Daphnia pulex: one gene and its partners. The protein of the gene in region 2 interacts with the protein of the main gene of each other region in a pairwise test. Links are inferred from orthologs where the notes say so. Each region holds a gene or a part of one and is shown on either strand. Other genes may lie near its edges.

Region 1 (8,740 bases), on a different chromosome or scaffold from region 2:
GACGGGGTCGTTGGGCTGCTGTTGGTTAGAACGGAGAAGGATCGGGGGCCATACAGACTGCGTACACTGGAGCAGGCCGCAAATAACTTGATATCACGAAAGGACCTTCCAGCGTCACTGAATAGAAACAGTTGGGAAGAAAACGTAGCGCGCGCGAGAGAGAGAGGGTGCGCCGAGCGGATCGATATGTCATTTCTCTATTGGATTACAATTGGGCTGGCTGGCGGCCTAGTCTTTGAGCCAAGTCCAACTGGATAAAATTAACGAGCCGCATGGAAACTTCAGGGCGTCAAAGAACTCATTATTGTTTACGCTAGAATCAATATGGCGCACTCTTCGCAACGGAATGCATTCCAGCGATGGCGCAGGCCCACATAAATAAATGAACGAGGAGCAAAAAGTATACGCGTATAAGGATTCAGAACCAACATTCTTGTCCAGCTCAGTTGCCCGCTCTTGCAACGACGATCAGGTCGGGCGGATAAAGGCCAGGGCTTCGTAAAATCACGTAAAATATTGTTTGAAGCAACTTTTCTTCAAGTAAGCCGGCAGACTAAACGGCGAACAGCTCACAAAAACCCCAACATTCCAAGCGTTAAAAATGCAGAGCGTCACGAGATTTCTTCGGAAATGTCACGTACACAATTTCTATCATGGCATTTCGGGCAATATGCGGGGGGAGAAAAAAGTCAATTAATGCGGAACCCACGGAGGGAGAGATAATGAGCCATCCCAGTAAGATAACACGAACGCTGATAATTTGAATTCGTGAAACGGGCGGAAACGGGATGGATCCGACGCACTTACAAGCCAGCCACTACCAAATGTAACAGTTTCAAACTCATTAGGGGTGAGGTGGAATGCATTCGACGAGTAGAGGCGTGGCGCGATGGGATAAGGAAAAAAGTAAACTGTGACCACCACGACTACTATACACCCAGACAAACTTGTGATTAAAGCAAAACGATTCGTACGCATCGTGTGTGTGTGATGAAGGGCCACACAACTCAATCACTTTTGGCGCCTTGATTATGACGTGCGGTTGGGAGTGGGGGGCCATAATCAGCCAACCCCTCCTCCTGCTTACCCACCGTTCTCCCTGAGCTCTGTTCTCTGGGCAAACAGTTCCAACCGACCAAAAGTGAGATAGAGATAGAGAGAGAGAGAGAGAAGCAACGAATCAATACCTCTCGACACGAAAAGGAAGCTAGAGAAACCAACAAAACAACCTTGCTGTTGCTGGTTTTGATCCATTCTACCTATCCAGAGAAATTCTATTCACACACACAGGGATTAGAGTGGGAGAGATACACTTCAATATAGGCTGGGACGGTAGACGCAAACTGGATACTAGTCTATATAACATACTTATATGAGCGCGATAAATATTCACTGAAAATGACACATCCTGCAGAGGCAATATGGCGTACATAATAACAGCGGGGGGCAATGAATTCTGAAGGCGACAAAATAAAAATCTCGTAGCTGACATTGCCGGAATATAAAAGAGGTAGTCGCACGACATGGCAACGAACAAATACAAGAACGACGCCATTCGACTCCCCGGCTGTCTGTCCACAATGTAAAATGACGCTAGACGAAATAGAAGCGAAGAAAGAAAAATTCAACGTTATCCGTTATAATAATAATAATAAAAAAAGTGTCGTCATTCCTTCAAGGGGCTAGGACGACAGGCTCAACGTATACAATATAAATCGGATTGGGACCTAATACGATTTCTTGTTTCCCGCCAGTCCCTCACTATTTTCTCTCTGTGTAACTCGCAGATTCAAACGTCATCGAGACCAACTGTGGACATCAATCTGGCTTTCTACTTTCCTATCTTTTGGGGCTTAGTTTCGACCGTGTTCAATACACTCTTGTCAGGGGAAGTATGCAGCAGCTGTTGGTCTGACTTCCAGGAGGAGTTCCTCGGTGTGTTATCGAATCCATACGACGGCGATTGTTCGATAGACCATTGGGTGCGAGATCCATCGATACGAGATGAAGTCTAACAGGATTGAGCCTGATCGCAATCGAGTAGATAGGATCAAAGAAGCCGAATTCCAGTTGAACGATCAAGACACCATTACCTATCCATTCATGTAATGGGTTTACAGTTCACAGAACACAATAGAGTAAAAAAGAAAAAAAGAACAGGAGATCGTGCAAATAACCAAGGAAAATTCGTTGAACTAAAACAACTTTTTCTTCTGTTTGGTAATGTTGAGCTTCTATAGCTCTAGTTCATGTAGGATATCTGTAAATATTACTAGGTGACTTGTGAGGATAAATAGAGCACTGAGTAATAAAGTCATTAGCCGCTCGAAAATCCCGAGAGAGTCAGCGAGAGAAGAAACACGGAGAGAACGTCGCCTTGGTGAACGCAGCCCAATCATGGCAGGCACTCATTAGCCATCCATGGCAACCTCATAAAATCTTAGGATTAACAATAAGATTTCGGGAACTATAGATCGAATGGCGAGGACCTAAAGGCTTAAAGAGACACGTCTGATTGAGGTATCATCGAGATTCATCCTTAAGATTAGACAAGGGTTGTCGACGTGATTCCATCTTTTCACTGGCGCCTTGCAAATAGCTCGCCCTCTCCAAAAGAGACAGACACGACATGGCATCATATCCGGGAACTGCTTTCTTGGCCCTGACACAGGCGCACAACCAAGATGCAATCCCCCCCCCCCCCTAAACCTCGGCAACCGCTTCCTACGCCTTAAATATTTGAGCAAGCTGAAAGAATATTGAACTTAAGCCACAGTTTTTACGAATTCAACTAGTTCCCGACTGCGGAACAGATTGAAAAAATAAAGTTCCAATGGGATAGTCTCCGGGTCGAAATCCTCACACAAATTCGGGCGATTAGAGTTCAATGATAAGTGTACGGGTTATTCAGTCACGAAAAGAGTGTCGAAACGAAATTGCCGAATCGACAGATTTGTCGATACGGCATGCACAGTCACGCGTGCTAAATGGTGATGGAGTGTGCCACAACCGAGGAGGATGCCAAGTTACAGAAAGAAAAAAGGAAATGAAACATTAAAAGTTTCCGGCTAGATCTAGCAATCCCGTCATTGCGACTCTGGCACGCACACGTAAACACGGGCAAGTATACAAGCGATTTTTTTTCCCCATTGCAAACACACACACATACACAAAAACGGAAATAAACAAATACCCCCATCCCCTCGCAAACCAACTCTTATGGAAGATTGAATAAATATACTTTGATGCCATTCATTTTTGATGAGATGAGCCTGTTTTCAACCGATTGTTATCCGAAGGATGATTTTAGTTATTTTTTTTTCCCCTGCCTTTTTTTAAATTAATTTTTACTTTATTTTAAAGTAAAGGTGGGGCTTCTCAGACGGGTTTATATCTAGCGTCCAACCTAGGAGACGCCGGCGATAGAAGCCTCCAAAAGAAGCAGTGAAATGAAATGAAACTCGACACGCGATATCTTACGTTGTAGTGAGCAAACGAAAAAAAAGGAGAATACTGTAGGTACGGATGAAAGTTAACATGACGAGAATAGCATTAACTAATAAATACCATGAAAAATAAGGGAAAGGGTTCGAAGTAGCCATCTAGGAATTAGACACAGGACACGCAGCATCGATTTCTTACAACTGAATACACAAAGTCCACAAATTTCTATTTCCCATTATCATTGTTGAATGTTTGTGCTTTTGGAATTGTCTGAATGGGGCTTGCATGTTTCAAAGTAAATCAATATTGTGTGACTAAAATCCCACTAACAGTGGGCCTAGCATCCTAGCAATATCAAGAGTTTTCTGGCTGGATGAAATATTACTTTGATGTATCACCTAAAGCAACAATCTATTGCTTGAGTTGAGAATAACATTTCGCAACAATCCTTCTGGGCTGTAGCTAGAGGCACAAGTCATTCAGCTTCGAAGTTTAGCTCAATACAACTTTAGAATTTAGTACAGGTTGAAAACTTGGATGCAGCTTAGCTTATTAGTTTGAAAATATGAATGCTATATTTACAGCCAAGATATTAATAAAATCTTTTTTAACATTTGAATGACGGGACACTTCAGTGAGTCTGTGACTTCAATATTGATTTACACTTTAGCTTAATGGTATTTATACACCCTAATGGAAAATTCTTATTTGTCTAATTCCATAGTCCAAAATACAAATATTTGAAACATATACCCTTTTAATTACAGTAAATTTGAATTCAGACTTGACAGTGGTGCTCAGCATCCAGCTGTTGCTACGTGGATATATGGTACGAATCGATTTTTCATTTAAGACTATACAGAATCAATAAATGCACAACTTACCCCATTTTAACTGTCGATGTCGAAGCACGAACAACTTAGAAAAATCTCAGATTTCGTTGGCAAACGCAAAAACTTTAAATACACGTATAGCACGCCATGACACAGGAAGAGCTTCTGTCAAATGGAACTGAAAGCCAGAGGTTGGGTTCGTAACTCCGTCTGCGTACGAAGGCCGCTAGGAAATCCTTTGCGCACGCAAGGGGAAAAAAATACTGGTCGCTATGCGCATGATTATATTTTTGTATCGGCTTTTACACAAATTCAAGGCACTAACACTATTAGTTACATTTTTGATGAGGTATGTTAAGAATTTGAGGACAATAATTTCAAGAAAAAAATTTATAATAAACTAAACCTGTCAAAATGCATATCTCCAACAGAATGATGACAATTAGGACAAGCTTATTAGTCATAGCAACACGAGACATTGACTTAAGGATTCTTCTACTTCTTCCCAGCTCTGCATCCGTTTCAGTCAATCTATCTCTTGTACGAACAAGCACTTCTCTTTGTTGACTTAATTCTTGAATAACTCCAGTGCCAATCTCTTCACTTTCTAAAGCAACCTGAGTAGTTCTGTAGAGGCTCTGTGATGTTCTTTCCAGAACTGCAGTTCCTTGGCGAACAGTTGTTTGAAGAGCATTATCAATGCCCCGGTTTTGGCTAAATGCAGCAGTGGATTGGTTTTCCAACAGTTTTCCTCTTGATGAGGCCAGAGACATTTCTGATTGCTTGGAAGAATTGATCAATAGAGCAAGTTTGGAACAGGTGTCCTGATGTCTTCGTACTCTGAAGTTGGATGATAAAAAAAACATTAGTTGAAATTTTACTACATGTATTGTTTGCTGTGTAAACTTAAGACATTCACATTTTTACCTGCCAATCATGTCCATCCTAAAAGAGCCAGGAGCTGCTCTAGCTTCAGCTTCCATTTCAAATATTGCTTGTTTAGCTTCATCTAGTCCTCTTTCGACATCGGCAATAACTTGCTTTTTTTCTTCGCCAAAACATTGTTCTAGCTTACCGGAACACTTTCTTTGCAGAATTTCGAACAAAACTTGTACATCTTCATCCAGAGTTTCAAATTTCTCTGAGCTCATTTCTGTTTCTTGTAGCACAATTCTGAACCTATTTGAGCACTACATACGATACCTTGCTATCAGGACGAAGACAAGGAATGTATTGTAGACTTGACGTATAAAACACCATCTGACAAAACATTGAAGACAGCGCCACAAACGGCGAGAATTAGCATTTCCATGACATTTACATTTAATAGCTAATTATTAAGATAAATTAAACACATTTCAGCCTGCAGAAGGTTTATTCAGATGTCACAGAAAAAACGTCATACAGGCACAGGTTCAATGATGTCACTCATTCCTTCTTATTTTTCTTCCCCTTTGCTTTCTTGGCTTTCGATCCCTTATCAGCAGCTGATTCGGGAACAGAAGCTTCTTCTAATGGGATAGCTTCAACGGGAGCAGCAAGAACCTTTTCCAACGGCTTCACTTCCGGGACAGCAATCGGTGTTGGGGCAGGAACGACTGGTGGCGATTTTCCTTTTACAGGAGTAGCGACTGGTGTTACCACCTTAACTACAGGTTCAGGGATGGTAACGATTGGCGGAGATGGTTCCTTAGCTGGAGCTAGGGCAGTCTTCACCTCAACAACGGACGCGGGTGTTACATCCATCGGTTCTACTTGCAAATCCTTTGCAGCCGTCTTGGATTTCTTGCTTTTCTTTGTTTCTGGTGGTGTTGGCTTAGGGGTTTCAACAGGAGGAGGTTGAGTTGGTTTGACATCTTGGACCGGTGCTTGAACGGGCGCTTCTTCTTTCGGCTTTTCAACAGGTAAATTTGGTACGGGTACTACTGACTGTAGAATGGATATACAAATTAGAACTTGGACTATTTTCCAAATCAGATTCTCACTACGATGGACAACTCACCAAAAACATCTGTTGATTAGCTCAATAAACCATGCTGTGTGCGCTCACTCGCAGGCTAGGCAGCTACCTTCTTGGTAGCACTCGCCTGTACATGTTAAACAATGTGGCATGCATTAAGTTACGTTCACATGCGGTAATACAATTTTAACAATTCAAACAGAAATCAAACGAAAAACTATCTAAGACATACAAACATTCACAGAAAACAAAATTACCTCGCGCTTCTTCTCGAGCAAAGCAGTCTTGCTCTTCTTCCGGGCCTCAGCAACAGCAGCGGCAGACTTCTTAATCACGGCGGAGTACGGGTTCAACTTCATCAATGCTCTCATGTTGGTAAGAGGATTGCGCTTAACAGATGCACGACGGATCATCTTCCTGTAATTTAAATTGTATCGATTAGTCATCTTTGCACCAGACAGTATCACTTGAATGATAAACTGCGTTCAGATTAATTTGCTAATCACAAAGATTCATAACCCAATGCTCTAAATGTGGTTTTCATCATTAATTAATCAATAATAAAGATTAAAAAGAAAGCTTGCCTTGGTCGTCTGATAACCTTCTGGATTTCATCAGACTTCAACAAACGAGACAAATCTGTTCCGGTCATGATGGGCTGAGGCAAGTTGTAGTTGCTCTTCAGCTTAGACTTCTGACGCCAAGTACCGTAGAGGGCGTTCAAGCGTTGGAAAGCAGACTCGGTCCAGATGCAGAAACGGCCAACATGACCACCAGGAGCAAGCTTCATGAGGTTCAGTTTGTTTACTGAAATCATAGAAACTCCGGGGATGTTACGGAAAGCCTTGGTCAAACCCTGATCTCTGCCATAGATGACCAGTGGACCCAATTTGCTGGTACGGCGACGGTTGCGCATCTTACCCTTACCTGCGCGGAAACGCCTGGTCTTGTAAACCTGTAAGAAATCAGATTAATTAGACGGTGTTCACACATAAAATCATTCATGACTCAGATTTTGTTCAGAGCTCTAAGGTGAAATCATTTACTCATAAACACAGACCAAGAAGCAACTCATCATTTTCCCGTGATAATTATACATAAATATCTAGAAACAAACCTTCTGGACATCAGTCCATGCGCGAAGACGGCGCAACAACACGACGGCCTGTTTGGTTTTTTTGTATTCTTGAACCTTGTCCGACACAACCAAAGGCATCTCCGGGACATCATTGATCAAGTGACCTGAATGTAAAAACATTTTAGTTCTAATTCAATATGACCTTATTTACTACTATCATTGTATGGATCAGGGACTCATGGTATGACTTCATGCTTGTCAGAAACACAGGAAACACATATTCATCATGCTAGTATGGAACCGTGCAATGATGATCTTGGCTCATATTTACCTTTGGACATCACCAAAGACGGAATACCCGAAGCAGCGACGGCCGAGCACAATGCAAAACGTTTCTGGTTAACGTTGATCTTGCGATGCCAACGGCGCCAGATCTTGGTGGGGGCAAACATACGTCCACCACGACACATGTTACCATAGGCACCCTGACCGGAGCGATGGGTACCACCTCCTCGGACACGGGGAATACGAGCCACAGCACGACCAGTACCCCATGATTCAGCACTTGTCTGATGACCTGTAATAGGAAAGAAGAAGATTAACAATCACACCATTACATGTGTGTATGAAGTTTGTCCGGTTGCCCAACCCCTCACTTTAAGAAAACAAAGCGAGAAAGGCCTCAGGGACTCGCTTTAGTGTTGCACACTGCACAAGAAGAGTCTGACGTACAATTACTCCTACATTTCAATGCTGTGTGCCATATAATTGGCATACAAGTTACCTGCTTTCTCGCTGACACAATAAGGGTGACGACGATTCATTGACATTTGTTGTTGAACAAAGCTGACAATGTCTGGCCTAATGGGAGCCCTGAAGATTGCAGGGAGCTGGATGCTGGTTCCAGAGGCCTCAGCCTTCTCATTGTAAACGGTAATCAACGGCCTCGCGACCACCTTACTCTGTAAAACAAAATGGATAAACAAATTAGATTTAAGATTTTCAAGAGACAACACTTGAATTTACACAAACTTTGAACTAGATGTACCAATTAACCAAAACATAACAATAAACCAAGAACGACGTTGAATTAACATAGAAAAACAGCAAGAGCCCATTTGACACGAGGACGAAACCACGCTGTGGGTAACATTTTACTCCCAAACTTTCGCCATAGATTAACAAGAAAATGGCTTAGAAAAATATACGCACGCAAGAATTTTCTTAAAACACGTTTCTCCCGTTAACCTTTTTACTTACTATTCGTAAATTAATGTATGTAAAAACTAGTAAAATGTTTGGAGAACCTCATGCTTACCATCTTGGTAGATAGTCCTGACCGGGTAAAAAGGCGAATGAAAGAGACCCACAGTAATGGCGACAAAGAGGAAGTCTACAATGTTGCCGGCATACTTTGAGAATTGC
Region 2 (8,127 bases):
TGGCCGCTCCGGCCTCCTGGGTCCTGACGCCGGCCATGTCCGCCGCGGCGTCCCAGTCGCTCAACGGCAGCAGCGGCAGCAGCAGCGGTGGTGGCAGTGCTGGTCACGGCCACCACCAGCGGCTGAGCCGACTGGAACACTTGCGGCCGCCGCCGCTGATGGTGTCGCTCAAGCGCAACTCGTCCGACTCGACCGACAGCTGGTCGCCGCTCTTTGGCCAGCAAGAGTCTCCCGTCGACTTGTCTGTCCGCTCTGGCAGCAGCGTCAGCTCCGACAGCCCCAACCAGACCAACAGCACCAACACGAGCACGGCCTCTGTGTCGTCGTCCGAGTTGTTGTCGGCCTTCTCCTCTCCGCTGTGCGGCGGACTGGAGACGCCGCCTCCGTCGCATCCGTCGCATCTGACGGCGACGTCTTCGCGTGTGGGCAAATCGCGCGGGTCGCGACTCAAAGCTCTGACGCGCAGCCTGTCGCTGTCGCAGTACCTCTCGGCCGTCGAATATTCCTCCTCGTCCGTCGACTTGTCGGCCGACAGCGAGGCCATTTCGCCCATCTCTATGGCCGCTCCGCTTTTGCTTCCGGGCGGCCCCCATCCGGCCGCCTTCGGCTGTGAGATTTGCGGCCAGATTTTCGACCAGCACGACCGGCTGGTCAAACATTTGACGTCGCGGCACAAGTTGCCCGTCCAACTGCAAAGGACTTCAGCCCTGCTCAACGGTGGCACCACCAGTGGCGCCACGACCCCAACCATTTCATCGTCGGCTGCAGCAGCAGCAGCAGCTGGACCCGTCCCCTCGGCCGATTCCGGCGTGGTCGTCAAGGGCTACCAGTGCGAAGTGTGTCAGCGGCCGTTTGCCCGCAGCGACATGTTGACTCGCCACATGCGGCTGCACACGGGTCTCAAGCCGTACACTTGCCGCATCTGCGGCCAGGTGTTTTCACGCTCCGATCACCTCAGCACCCACCAGCGGACGCACACGGGCGAGAAGCCCTACCGCTGCCCGCAGTGCTCCTACGCCGCCTGCCGACGCGACATGATTACCAGGCACCTCAGGACGCACACCCGCAGCGAAGACTTGGACTTGGGCCATGTCTCCGATCCACGGTGCAAAGATTCCGGATAAAAAAGAAAAATTCCGGAATGACATCCCCCCCCCGTTTTTAATAATCTGTCATTGATTGGGTGTTTTTTTTTAATTATTATTTATGTGTGTGTCTTTGCTACACATCTCGTTTGTTCTACTCGTTTCTTTTTGGCCCCTCCCACCAATAGAGAGGGTGGGGGGAATCCGGAATGGATTGCGTATGGCTAAATTCCCAATTCACATTGCGGTTGTGTGTCTAAACAAAGGCAAGAAAGATGGCGATGATGTTGTTGTTCCGTGAAAAAGATTTCATATTTGGTTTTCCTAATTCTCTTCCGAATGGAGGATTGAATAGGAAAGCGCATTCATCCGCAATTTCTTGCGGTGGAGCTTCCGTTTTCTCCATCGACAACAGCAACCAACTCTCCCAATTTGCTCCATTCCAATTCGTTGACTCGATGACCTGAGTATCTCTCTCTGTGTGTGTGTGTGTGACTTCGTCTTTCCATTTATAACCTCCACTGTTGTTGCTCTCACCATCCGCTGGTCGTGTCTTATTATGTCGCCATTTCGATTATTTGACCTTCTTCCCTCGTTTCCACTCCGCACAGACTCACGCAGTGAGTACACACACACCACACGTATTTTGATTTTCCACCTCTAATTAGCGAGTTGGATGTATTGAAAAAAAAGACAAAAAAAAAAGAGTCCCATCGACTGATTGTATCATGCTATGTATAAATTACCTGAGACTGTGTTCAAAAATTGTCACCACAGAGCCGACGACAACAACAACAACCATTTCTCCTGCTCCTCAACCCGTTTCTTTTGGTTTTTGTTGTCCTCCCAGCGTGTGTGCTGGTTGCGCGGGTCTGTGGACAAGTCGTGTCGTGATTACCCACATTATCTTTCTCTCCCTCTCTCTCTCGTGTTCGTGCTCGCGCGAGCGAGATTGAGCTCACTGGCCGTCATTATGGAGCGACGACGACGTCTTGCTGCGCTTCTTTCCTCTCCCGACCCCGCCCAATTTGAGACGAAGAATTATTGAGGTTAAAGCGACAAGGAGAAGAACAAACAAATGTGTGCTGCAGTTGCGCAGTGTGGGCTTTTTTTGATTATTTGATTTTCTTTTTTTTTTGTTCAAAACCGAACGGACCTCACAGATCAGATCCGATTGTCAGCAGATTCGGGATCGTCGGTTACCCCCCATTTTTTCCCTTCATTCTGAAACTCGCTCACCCCCCTTACAAACTTTAATTGCCGTTTGATTCACCCCCCATCTTTTATTTTCTCTCTCTCTCTCTCTAAATAGATATACAGAAGATTTTATATATTATATTATCGATTCTATTACGTCGAAACAAAAGCCAATCATTTGTCTTTTATTTTCCATGCGTGTGTGTGTGTTTCAGATTCCAGAAGCTCAGTACAAGAATTGTATATACATGTTCGCACAGACACAACAAACACAATGTAGTTTTTCTTTGACGTTTGATTTCGATCCAACCACTTTATTATTACGTCTCTCTCTCTCTCTCTATCTCTCTCTGGCTCATCGATTTTGTCCTTAATTGTGAATAACTTGTTTTGAAATCATCTCTTTAGCTTCCCGTATCATGTTGTTTCACTACCCGCCGATCCTTCCCCTCCGCCATTCGAATGGAGACGAAAACAAAGTTTCGAAAAAGAAAGAAAATCAACTTCATTAAAAAAGAGGAAGTGTTTTTGAGTGATGTGATTAAATACTCGGATGAGCATGGCTATGTGATGTAGTGCGATTACATCTCCAAAAAATCCACCCCCAACCCTCAACCCATTTCCACACTTTGAAAAAAACAAAAATGTTACATAACATGTGTGACGATGATGTGATTATAACTGAAAAGAGAGAAGAAGTAAACCCGGTTTGAAAAAGATAATAACAGAAAAATAATCGACGAAAAGATAAAAAAAAAATACACACAAACACACACTGTCTATACCATACGATTGACTTCTCAGTTATTGTTTTATTATTTATTATTCCGCAGCATCGGCGGAATATACTATCATTATTTGCACATAAAAGTTGATGATGAAAGAAAACAAGATTTTTGCCATCATTAATCAAGTATCGAACATTTACAACCGCCGAAGAGCGGGGACACCAATTGAGAAACATTTCAAATAAAAACCTACACCTAGCCCCCAAACTGAGCACGATTCAATGAAAGTAACTGATGACGATAAACAATTCGAAAAAAGATAAATCAGATTCTTTTAAGTAAGTTGAGAGGACTGCTGCTTCTGAACTAAAGGACAAAAGGGACAAATTCATTAGTGTCAGCTCGCTGGAGTGGTCCAGCCGGTCGCGAGGACACTGAAGACAAACATGTTGTTGGATTAATAATCTGACAAGAATTCCGGGGTGTCACTCTACACCGTGAGCAAAAATCATGATGAGACCCGGTTCCAATATCATATCTGGATTCATATGTCCGTTGTCGCAGGCCATGACGGCCACGGCTTGTTTGCCCGGAATCCTCCGGCAGACATAGTTCTCGTATTGACGCCGGTTCAGCTGGCGGATTTCCAACGACGACAATCCCGTCGGCCACCGCCGTTCGTGGGCGTTTTCCATCAGATCCTGGATGATGTGCGGTGGGCAACCCGATTCGGAAAGGGCTCTCTTGATCATTGCCTGCAACTTTAAAAGGTTATCGTATTTGATTGAATGTATTGAGCTCGCCAACTGTAGGATATTACCTGTAGCACCGTGTCCGGAGTCGAGATCATGCCACCCCAGCGCAGGACTCTCGCCTTGGGTAGAGTTTCGGCCCAGCGTCTCACTTCGTCGGCTTCCATCTGATCTGCCAGAATCCGCAGCGAAGGATTGGCGTTCCGCATGGCTAGCATGTAGTCCTTCAGCAGCTGCAGTTCTCGTTTCTGTTCGCTCATCTGAAATTTGCCCTCGGCTACTTCCGCCTGCACCTCAACTAGTTTCGATTGCTGGGCCTGCATCAACGAGCGCAGCTCTCGCACGCAGTTGTGTTCCTGGAAATGCAATCAACATAAATAAGGTACTATTTAAAGTTGTAACCTGTAAAACAACCCACTTACTTTCAACTCGTCTTTTGGCACAACTAGCCCACAGCCGAGCTCACATGGCACCGGTCTCTTTGGATTGAACTCACATTCTTGTACATGAGACTCCAGGGCATCTAGTTTCAATATTGCAGTGCACCCATAAACAGAGTTATCACAAGTGAGCTGTAGTCTAGAAAAATAATAGAGAAATGGTACAATTTCATACTGATAATAAGGTTTCAAACTTCCAAACCACCAACCTGTATAGTAGGTTCCGAAGTATTCTGGGAACAGGTCTCAGCTGAGGAGGGGTTATGTTTTGTCTGTCGACAGGACAAGTTGGCTGTCTCGAGAGCCACTCGTGAATGCAAGCAGAGCAAAATGCATGCTCACAGTTGGGTGCCTGAAATTACAAGTCTATTAAATCCATCACATTCCCTCTGGGGAAATTTTATTGCTACTCTCGCTTTTGGAAGCGAACTGTCATTATTACCTGTAACGGATTTTCGAGCACTGAACTACAAATTGGACACAACAATTCTTCATCAACTTCTCCTTGAAATCGATTTATTTCAATTCCCATTTTTCTTGGTTAACAAAACGGCCAAGAAAACTTTGACCTAATTAAGTAAACACACCTGCTTCTCAGTAAGAGTTCGCGTTTCTTTCTTTTTTAATAAAGGGGGAACAGAATTGACGTACCTAAATAAATGCAACAACAAGGTGTTGCAGAGCCATCGGGCGGTAGAAAAATTAAACCGTAAAACGCAGTCTGACGGTTAGGGAACGAAGTTTACATATGGAAGTGCCAACGTCACTTCTTTTCATTTCAAACCAATCCTTCAAATGCTGAACATGTAAGTTGATCAACACGTGGTTATTCTGGGTTTTCTAATTTTTTAGTTTCTCATTTAAGTTTTGAAAACGTAGTTGTAGGATATGGTTAACGCTCTTAACACAGTAATTAGCCTGAACATTTTTAATATCTATATGTGTATTGCTTTGGTAAGGTTGAAGTCTAATAAAACCGACTTTCTCTAAGAAGTATATTATAGAGAAAGAAGCCTCAGGTTGGTCTGGGGTTTCTTTGGTTAAAATGGACAAGTTTGATAATAAGTAGTTTTAAGTGAAATTCCATGTTCAGTCTGAAATCAATGTTGCAGTAACGGTCATGAGGCGAATGAAATTTCCTCTTGTCTAGTAACTAACTTGTCAATTTAAGTTGTTAATTTGCCTCATGTAGGAACAGGTTTGATTATATCTCTTAATCTGTTCATTTTAGGTTGATATCTTCAATGCCAGGAGGGATGATGGCAGATGAGTGCAAGGATCGGAAACAATTTTTGAAGGGCTGTGAGACAAATCATGCATTTAGGCTACATTGGTGCCTTGAAGACGACTAGTTTGGAAGGTAAAAACGAATTCCTATTGTATATGGGTAAATAGTCCTGATGACCCTAGGATTACAATGAAATTTAGTGTACCTAAATTAATATTTTGATTAAATCTCTATCGCAATATTCTGAAGTGTAGACCAAAGCAGTATCACACTGAAATGGTTTGTAGATTTTCATGATCAATTATGTCTAGATTGATTTCTGACCTCACTTGGTTTTGCACCGGTTGGTTGTAACCTATCTTCCAGAATTCGCTGATTTGAATGTAATCGAGGAATAAAGGTTGGTTTTCTTATCATATATGTAAAATATGCTGTTGGATTTTGCTGATGACACTCTTAGGACACCTAAATATGTACCCTGATTACTAAATGTGCTGAAAGTATCGAGTGACTTGTCGTCATTTTGGTCTAGTCCTCGCCTTAACGTTATATCGTTTTTACAGAGAAGATTCCATGCCAAGACATTTCGTGGAGGATGGATGTCGACTGTTACGGCTATGGAGCCAATGGAGGAGGTATAGTTATTTTTACATTTGCATTTGAGCCTCAGAGTCACCGGTTTAACGCACATGTAGTATTCCGGTGCTAGAGGATCTCATAAATTAAACGTCTAACCACTTATGCTCGATCTGTATTTATTGCAGAGGTTGATCACCTCGGTTTGAGACAATTTGTTTTGACTTTACAGGAAGATTTAACATTTTAATGGTGTTTATTTTTATTTTTTTGCAGGCAGTGGGTGTGCATTACACTAGATGAGATACAATCATGAAGGTGTTTGCGATTCTTAGGTAAATGGACAGTTTTAATGGTTTCTTTTGGATTTTTGTGATGAACAACAGTTTCCTGTGTTTCTGACAACCATGAAGACCCACTCGAGTCCCTGATAATTCAGGCTTTTTAATATCATTTAATCGGCTGTAAACAAATATTGACGATTTGTTTGGTTCGTTTATTCAGATTGTCTTGTTTAACAACCGCCGTCGATTGTTGAGCTACTGGGCCAAAAACTGGAGTTTCATTTTCTTTCGTTTCGAGATGCTGGTGATTTCATGATCTACGTAGTGAGTAGAGAGAATTACTTGTAATGTTTAACGTAAATTGAAATGATGAGAACGCTTAAAAGCATTTTCCGAGTTCCATGATGATTCATTCTGCCTTCCTTTTGATCTTTAACTGAGTTGACGATATCAGCGATACAAACTGATGTTATAGATTTATTTTTTTCTGTAGGTAATGTGGTATTGCTTCTTGGTCAACGTCATTGGAATCCGAGGAGTTCATTTTACACAAGGTAAATTTTTTTTAATGCGAGACTCGGCAAACAGGTTTGTTTAAGGAGACAATTGTACGCCAGGTTTCTTATTGTCCTGTTTGCAACATTAAAGCGAGTCCCTGAGGCCTTTCTTGCTTTGTTTTTTTTTTAAGCAAGGGGTTGGGCAACCGGACAAATTCATGAAAATAACTTGTGTTTTTTGTGTGTTCAGATGGACTGGTTTATTGTTCGGTGTTTTTTTTTTTTGGCGCCATCTTCATAGGATATTAGGTAATAGCTCAATATGTTAACGAATTAAACGTAAATATCATGATGAACAATTGTTTCCTGTGTTTCTGACAATTATATGAAGACTCACTCGAGTCCCTGATAGATTATTTATCTTAATCTGCATTTGAGCTACTGCTTTCTGCACCTTAACGATGATTTTATTTTGTCGTCTTTTTAGGTTGCTCGGTCGGTTGTCTTGGAGTACTTGGCGAGCATGTTATTGGGTATGTTGTGTTGTTTGTTGGTTAAATTTTTCTTATCTAATTTAATAATTTGGTATATCTAGGTCTGACTACGGTCTATTGGATTGTTGGAGATTTTGTTTATATACGTTTTCTTGATAAATCCCTGTTGTCGAGGTAAGAATGGTTCGATTATTGCGATCTTGGGCAAATGATATTTTGTAAAGAAATTGCTGAACACCAGATTTCTTTTTGTTCAGTTTGCAACATTAAAGCGAGTCCCTGAGGCCTTTCTTGCTTTGTTTTCTTAAAGCAAGGGGTTGGGCAACCGGATAAATTTCAATATTATCATTTGATTTTCTTTAATAGGGATATATGCGGTGAGACGCTGGATCTAATAGTGTCGGCTTAAGGAGTCCTGAGGTAATAGAGAGATTGATGTCAAACCTTCATTGTAAATTTTGTGATGACAAATGTTTCCTGTGTTTCTGATAACTATGAAGACCCACTCGAGTCCCTGATAGTAGATAGACATGTTGGTGTAAAGAGATTAGTTTTCTCCTAACGTTATTCCATATTTTAGGTGTGTTAATTTTCGATCCGTTGCTTAACGTCTGTGGGATGGTATGGAGCTATGAAACTTGCACAAGGTAATTTGAGTTCATATCACTTTAAATTGTTACCAGTCTGATGAAAACGAGTTACCGTTTGACCTTAATGAAACCATTAATATTGGCTGTATAAAATCTGAATGTCTACGCTTAGACATTTACTTTATGTTTTATAAATCATTCTAAAACTTTTTTTTTGTCATTCAGTTTGTCGCAGTTTTGAAGGTCTTTGGATTTG
Region 3 (7,180 bases), on a different chromosome or scaffold from region 2:
CAGCCAAGCACACCGCCCCGAAGAAGTAGATCTCGAGACCGAACCGAAGTGGAGGCTCGCCCGCCACGTCGAACAGAAAAAGATTATTTAAGGGAGAAGGAAGAAGAAGAAGAAGCTCTGGAGAGGAAGAAAGCAGAGAAGAAGGCACGAGAAAAAGAAGTTGCTTATCAGGTAAAAGATTTCACCTTGCATTTGGCGGTCGTCCAAGTGGTCCTTAGCGGATTGGTCTGCACTATCGATCCCGACCTGCCGTGACGCGTGTGTATTGCCCAGAACAGCATAACAACAACAAAAAGAGGGCTGGGAATACGTTGATCATAACTTTGATAGTTTCCATTGGAGTGGATTAGTCTGGAATGACCATCGTAACCTTTTCTTGTTCACCGTTTGGGATGCTATGCTGTCGTGCGTTTCTTTACTCACGCAAGTACCCAGACTGGACAAAAAAAACTCGGTTTAATCAATCCATTGCGCTCTTTTTGCCTTCCTGTTTTCTATCTTGTGATCTCGTGTGCCGTGACCGTAAAGTATAAGAAGAGGCAATAGTTGTGAGGTCCCTCCGTTCTTGATTTAAGGATTTCCAGTGATAATGCCAAGTTGGAATTGATTTCTCTTGTGGCTGGTTTTTGTTTTTTTATCATTTCCTTTTGGGTGGATTCAACAGGAACGGTTGCGTCACTGGGAGAGCCGAGAACGGAAGAAGCTCCGTGATTACGACAAACTCGAGCTCAAGGAAAAGGAAAGGATTGAAGAACAACAGAAACAAGCCGTTTGGCTCAAACAGTTCCTTGAAGACTATGACGACGAAAGAGATGATGCAAAATACTATAAGTAAATTTTGTCCTCCATCTCATTTTCTTTATTGAATCAGCCTAATGTTTCTTTCTTGGAATTGCGCAGAGGCCGTGAAATGGAGCGCCGGCGAACAGAGCGTGAGAGAGAAACGGAATCAGACACACGTGACCGTCAAAAGGAGAAGGAAGAGCTCGAGGAACTCAAGACGAAAATTTTCTCTGAGGGCCACTCAGATCCAACAGCAACTCTTAAACAGGTAAGAGAGGGAAAGCTCAAAGTTTCACGAATGTATGATGTAAAACCTCTTCTGAATTTTCCTAGGCTCTTTACGAAAGGGAACAACAGTACAAGCCTCAGATACTCGTGCCAGCACCTCCTGTTAGTGATGCTCCCCGCTCTTTCTCTCCCATGGACGTGTCTCTACCATCACAACCATCGGACGTGGAAGATTTCCAGTTGACGAAAGATGTCAATTCCACCACGCCCGTCTCATCAGCTCCATCCACTCCAACCGGACCAGAACCTAAAACAATTAGCTCTAGTGTTGCGAGCAGTGTCATTGCCATGGAAGAGGATTCCATGTCAACAACGAATTCCTTAAGTCCTCTTCCAACTGAAAGTGACAGCAAACAAGGTACGATAATTGGCCATCGATTGCCCAACCAACATATGTATAACTAATTGTTTCTCTTTCTGTATTACAGGATCACAGGGACCCAGTTTAGTATTCAATAAGCGGAAAAAGCTGGAAATCAAAGCCGTTTTCAATGCTGATGAAGACGATACAGACACGACCAAGAAGAAACGGAAACTTGTACCTCTTGGTAACATAATCAGATATTTTCTTTTCCGTAACATTTCTGTTTTAATTAATTTCTTTTCCAATAGACTATGGCGATGAACTTGCTAAAAAGGAAAAAGAGCCCAAGAACACAGAGGAGAAGAGAAAAAATATCAAGAGTCTTATCGAGAAAATTCCAACGGATAAAGCATCCCTCTTTGCTCATCCTGTTGAGTGGAGCTTAGTGGACAATGTAAACAATGAACAAGTACGCGTTGTCGAATAACCACTTAAATTCTTGTTTTATTTTCTCCATAGGTGATAATGGAGCGGCGGATTAAACCGTGGGTCAATAAAAAGATCGTGGAGTACATCGGAGAGCCCGAGCCTACTCTAGTTGAATTCATTTGTTCCAAAGTATTGATAGGAAGCCAACCACAAAATATCATCAATGATGTTCAGATGGTAAGGTCTTAATTTCTATAAATTCTAAAATGTAATTCCTATTTTAACAATTTTATTTTTATTAGGTACTTGATGAAGAAGCAGAGGTCTTTGTTGTCAAGATGTGGCGCTTATTGATCTATGAATTAGAAGCAAAGAAATTGGGTCTCATGACTAAGTGAAAAGGGGTGATTGCATTGGGTCTCTATTTTGCAATTGGTTGTTGTTACATTCACCCCATATTATGTACAACTAATTACACAGCAATTTGACAAAAACACTGCTTTGAATAGATTTTTAAATCAAACTTTGAGAGAAAATGAAGCACCACATGAACAACCACTTTCAGCTTTGGGGTTCTTCAATATGTGGAAGGCAGAGCGGATCAACTCAGACTGGAAATCAATTGTTGCTCCTTCAAGGTATTGCATGGAATCTTTGTCAATAAAGACTCTCGCACCATCTCTTTCAACCACACTGTTTTAATGAAAACTGTCAAAAATTATGTTGATTTAGTTTAGTTTTTAAGTACAAACCAGTCATCTTCATTTGCCGTGGTGTCCAAATTAAACAAGTACTGAAATCCCGAACATCCTCCTCCTTCTACCGATATCCGAAGCGTTTTCTCTGGGGATTTTTTATGCAGTTCCTTCAATCGTTGGACGCACTTATCCGTCATCTTTATAGATCCTTGTACGGTATCCATTTGAACAGCATTGTTTAAAGATGAGAATGCCGAAATATGTGATGGGAATCTGGTTAACCGGTTTACTAATGCCGCATAAAACATTGTTATTGTTTAGCAGAAATATCACGTAACAATACGAAAACGAAACGAATTCAGACGAAAAAAAGCACAACCACAGTTGCATTTTACTTTTATTTTGAAAAACTCGTCATAAAATTCTTAATTCCCGGTTTATTCATACACGAAGATAAAATAACGTTTTTAATTCTAAAATTTTAATTTAAAATTTTGAAGGAGAGTTTTTATATTGTTTTTAAAGTTAACCAGCAAAGTCAAATTTCATTCGCAACTAACATCAAGATCAGCCGAAGTCGAACAGAAAAATCATGGCTGCTCTACGTCTCTCCCTAGGCTCTTCGAAGCAAATTGCAAAAGTATTTCGTGGCAATTTCAGAGTTTCGGCTTGTTTCAAACATCAGGTTATACATGTTTATATAAGAGTAAATAATAAAATAAAAATGTGTCAATGAAGTTCCTTGTACCTTGGATGATTTTGCCACATCCTGTTGGTTACTTTCATCTTACAATTAATTTAATGATATTTCTTCTTATTTGTTTTTTATCTCAGGAAACATGTGAAATTGGTATTCAAGAGCCTAGCTACCTGTCCATCCAACAGCGAAATGATGTGAGGTGCCAATGGAATCCAATCACAGTTTTCAGTCGAGGATTCAGAACTTCTGCAGTACTAGGTGAAATTCACTAGTTCCAAATGGCAATAAATAGTCATAATAATAAAAAAATACTTTTTTTAGGAGATGCGAAAACTGTGATGGTACCACCATTTGCAGACTCCATCAGTGAGGGTGATGTAAGATGGGATAAAGGTATGCTTCTTCCAGAGAGTATTGGTACAACTGTATTAGTAGCACAGAAATGATCTTTGAGTGAAAATGTCAATCTTGAAGCTTAATTTCAGTATTTTCAAGTCAAAGATTTCAAATCATTTTGCGTCCTTTTTTTTCAACTTGATAGACTTGCACCTGTGGATCTTATGGTGTTTTTCATAGAATGTTTTTGTTTTCTTTAGCTGTTGGTGATACAGTCCAAGAAGATGAAGAAGTATGCCATATTGAAACGGACAAAACATCGATCCCGGTTAAAGCCCCTTGCAGTGGGGTCATTACTGAGTTGTGCGTTAGTGATGGTGCTACTGTTCAACCCGGAGCTAAACTCTTTATTATGAGTGCAGGTAACTATTATGCTACCAGAAAATTTCTACATTTTTAAAATAAATTTAAACCGTTTCTTAATCTAGGAGGTGCTGCCAAAGCTGCTGCTCCCGCTGCTGCTGCTGCTGCTGCTCCTCCAACACCTTCACCAGCTGCTCCTGCTCCTCCACCGCCTACCCCTGCCGCCCAACCTGTTTCTGGTGCGATCCCATCAACACCTCCTCCTCGCCCATCCCCTCCAACAACCCCTATTTCTGCCATCCCAGCAGCAAGCATCCAACCTCGGGTTGCTGCTCCTGTTAACGTTACGCAGACGTCCCAAGTACGAATTAAATGTCATTCCCCCATCATTTTAACCTTTTTCTTAATTTTTTCTTATCTCTAGGCTGTTCCCCTAGCCCGTCTTCCACCTGCAGATTATAGCAAGGAAATTACTGGCACAAGAACCGAACAACGCGTTAAAATGAACCGCATGCGACTGCGTATTGCTCAGCGGCTGAAGGAAGCCCAAAATGTCAACGCTATGTTGACAACTTTTAACGAAATTGATATGAGGTAGTATGCCATTGTCTCTTGATGCCATAGGTGGATTAACGTATTTCGTTTAAATTCACAGCAACATCATGGAGCTGAGAAAAACACACGGTGACGCCTTCTTGAAAGTTCACAAAATCAAGTTGGGTTTCATGTCAGCTTTCGTCAAGGCCGCGGCTTGCGCCCTTGCTGATCAACCTACTGTCAATGCCGTCATCGACGGAAATGAAATCGTCTATCGCGATTACATCGACATATCTGTGGCGGTTGCCACACCAAAAGTAATTCTGCTACAGTTTAGCATTAAGAGTTAAATTATTAATAAATTTTTTTGTTTTAAATTTGAAGGGTTTGGTGGTGCCTGTTCTACGTAATCTAGATTCTATGAACTATGCTGACATTGAAAAGGCTATTGCCGCAATGGGTGAGAAGGCAAAGAACAACGCATTGGCTGTAGAAGATATGGATGGAGGTACTTTTACCATCTCCAACGGTGGAGTCTTCGGCTCATTATTCGGTACCCCAATCATCAACCCTCCGCAATCTGCTATTTTGGGCATGCATGGAATTTTTGATCGTCCCGTCGCACGCAATGGCCAGGTACGATAGACTAAAATTAATAACTAACGACTCATCAAAACAGATATCAATCACGAGTTGTTATTATATTTAAATTGATTTCTTTAGGTGGTTATTCGTCCCATGATGTTCGTAGCTTTGACTTACGACCATCGGCTTATCGACGGCAGGGAAGCTGTGACTTTCTTGCGCAAAATCAAGCAGACAATCGAAGACCCCCGTACTCTGCTCTTATCAATCTAAGATAAGCTTTTCATAGAAAGGGACTTTATATATTGCGAATCATTTATAGGAAGCACTAGTTTAAAGTTCCCGATTCAGTTGCATTCTACGAATCTAGAAGGAAACATGAGAGTTATAAATAATAATAAAAAAATAAAAAGAATCGAGTGTTCCCTTAAACACACTGAACTGCGTTCGTCTGTTTTCGGTCTTTTTTCTTTATTCTTCTTTATTTCGTTTTCTACCCCTAGGTGGCAGTGAAAGACGAATCACGTATGAAAATCTTCTTTATTTCGTTTTCTACCCCTAGGTGGCAGTGAAAGACGAATCACGTATGAAAATACACTATTTCTGTTTGAATCATCACAAAATCCGTGTGCTCCTGATCCTTTTAGTAAGGATTAAAGACAACTTAACCATTTCTGACGATTCTTAGAAACTTGAAATATTAATGCATCCTAGAATTAGCGGATTGGCGGTTGCATTCGATTTCTCTTGCTTGGAAGTTATTATCAGTCAGTTTGATTTAGAATGATCATTGATCGCTTGTATTGGTCACGAGAACGTTGATATTTCGTTGCGATGGTGGTTTCTAGGGAAGAGCAGTTGGCAAAGGAAGCAAGGAACTTATAAAGTATTCAGACGCTTATACGTTCGTGACATCATCAAGTCCGGCATGTATTACATACGTTTAATATTGCGCAATAGCTACCATATTCCTAACTCCTGAACTATCCATCAGTGCCAAGAACTTTCAGTGTGGCGCTCTTCTTTTTTTTTCTCTAAAGTATGTAATAATCTTGCCTGGCTTTTCTGACGACGAAAGGGGAAAAAAATGTCGGGAAAAACTTTTGGGTCTTTTGAGAGTTGTATAAAGGAAAAAAAAAAGGTTATATCGTCACGACACTCGGTTTCACAGTTGGCCCGGCTTTTTTTCTCGACACCTCTCGCACGGTGTCTTCAATGAGTTAATTGCCTAAAATGTACGTAATGTGGAGTTTGAACCTGCCGAGGAAAAAAATTGTATAAATTAATAATCAAGGAAAAAGGGAAACTTTGGATTAACACGAAACCTCACAAAGTTGTGGGACAGCGTCATCTAATTCAGACACAAGAGAGAAGGGGGGTGTGAACAGTCAGATTTGGAATTGGATCGTCCTAGGATTAATTTAAAGTTTTCTTGGTGAAAGCATTTGAATAAAAAAAAATCCTTAAAGAGTAAAAAGATGATAATGATACAATTTTTCTCTAATGTGGAAAAATAAAAGACACTGAATATTTAGGTTACCTTTATGCTGAAAACTGACAACAACGATTATTCATCACAGTTGTTCACATCGTGTGGCCATTGCTGCAATAATGAGTGCGATCTTCTGTAACGTATGTTTTTATTCCCCGCACCAGACTTGCCACATGTTTGGCCACTTTTGTGACCAACAAACGAAACCCACAATACAATTATTCTGCAGCATGCACTGCCATGTTATGAATATGGGAAAGAAACTGTGCCCATCCTAAAGTGTGTGTCGAGAAAAACTCGTGACGAAAGAGCTTACATTTTTGTGTTTTATTATAACTTGTTTCGTCTTGTTCGTTTCAAAATCAAACGAAAATGGCGTTCGACTTCACTGCACGCCTCAGACGAATCGAATTCTCCCATGATTTGCAAAGAAATGCTGGGAGGCTGCTTCGTCGAGACACCCTGGAAAATGGCTCGTCAGCACGTGGCATCAAAAAGGTAAGTGAGTCTTTTCTTTCCTTTCTCTTCTTGCCTTTGATTCCTGTGTGAATATTTCCAAGTTGTCGAAGCAATTTGAGCCACGAATTGAATGAGTTGGAGTATCACTCGGCTAAATTGACGTAAAATCAGGTTAACTTTTGACTTTTCTTGTTTGTCACATGCAT

Evidence for each region. The genes of interacting proteins can lie anywhere in the genome.
Region 1: the proteins of E3 ubiquitin-protein ligase NRDP1-like (region 2) and homer protein homolog 2-like interact in binary tests that used the Homo sapiens proteins (3 or more experiments, as listed by UniProt). The link is inferred for Daphnia pulex from reciprocal best matches to the Homo sapiens genes RNF41 and HOMER2.
Region 3: the proteins of E3 ubiquitin-protein ligase NRDP1-like (region 2) and iron-sulfur cluster assembly 2 homolog, mitochondrial-like interact in binary tests that used the Homo sapiens proteins (3 or more experiments, as listed by UniProt). The link is inferred for Daphnia pulex from reciprocal best matches to the Homo sapiens genes RNF41 and ISCA2.

What each region holds. Positions count from the first base shown.
Region 1 is NC_060018.1:4,116,097-4,124,836, reverse strand, and holds the start of homer protein homolog 2-like, read right to left. Parts: upstream 4,510-8,740; 5' UTR 4,334-4,509; coding exon 4,329-4,333; intron 1-4,328. Other genes in the region: vesicle transport through interaction with t-SNAREs homolog 1B-like, read right to left, coding at 4,655-5,117, 5,205-5,428; uncharacterized protein LOC124189006, read right to left, coding at 5,706-6,206, 6,495-6,654, 6,822-7,192, 7,355-7,479, 7,647-7,892, 8,100-8,277. UniProt on the Homo sapiens protein: Postsynaptic density scaffolding protein. Binds and cross-links cytoplasmic regions of GRM1, GRM5, ITPR1, DNM3, RYR1, RYR2, SHANK1 and SHANK3.
Region 2 is NC_060021.1:11,013,532-11,021,658, reverse strand, and holds E3 ubiquitin-protein ligase NRDP1-like, read right to left. Parts: upstream 4,787-8,127; 5' UTR 4,735-4,786; coding exon 4,645-4,734; intron 4,555-4,644; coding exon 4,412-4,554; intron 4,342-4,411; coding exon 4,185-4,341; intron 4,119-4,184; coding exon 3,831-4,118; intron 3,772-3,830; coding exon 3,496-3,771; 3' UTR 3,065-3,495; downstream 1-3,064. Other genes in the region: uncharacterized protein LOC124194673, read left to right, coding at 1-1,124. UniProt on the Homo sapiens protein: Acts as E3 ubiquitin-protein ligase and regulates the degradation of target proteins. Polyubiquitinates MYD88. Negatively regulates MYD88-dependent production of pro-inflammatory cytokines.
Region 3 is NC_060017.1:2,841,372-2,848,551, forward strand, and holds iron-sulfur cluster assembly 2 homolog, mitochondrial-like, read right to left. Parts: upstream 2,866-7,180; 5' UTR 2,811-2,865; coding exon 2,557-2,810; intron 2,498-2,556; coding exon 2,323-2,497; 3' UTR 2,210-2,322; downstream 1-2,209. Other genes in the region: RNA-binding protein 25-like, read left to right, coding at 1-171, 665-831, 901-1,051, 1,117-1,429, 1,500-1,619, 1,684-1,829, 1,895-2,041, 2,107-2,202; dihydrolipoyllysine-residue succinyltransferase component of 2-oxoglutarate dehydrogenase complex, mitochondrial-like, read left to right, coding at 3,095-3,187, 3,337-3,460, 3,524-3,595, 3,799-3,960, 4,027-4,262, 4,326-4,495, 4,557-4,755, 4,823-5,074 and 1 more. UniProt on the Homo sapiens protein: Involved in the maturation of mitochondrial 4Fe-4S proteins functioning late in the iron-sulfur cluster assembly pathway. May be involved in the binding of an intermediate of Fe/S cluster assembly.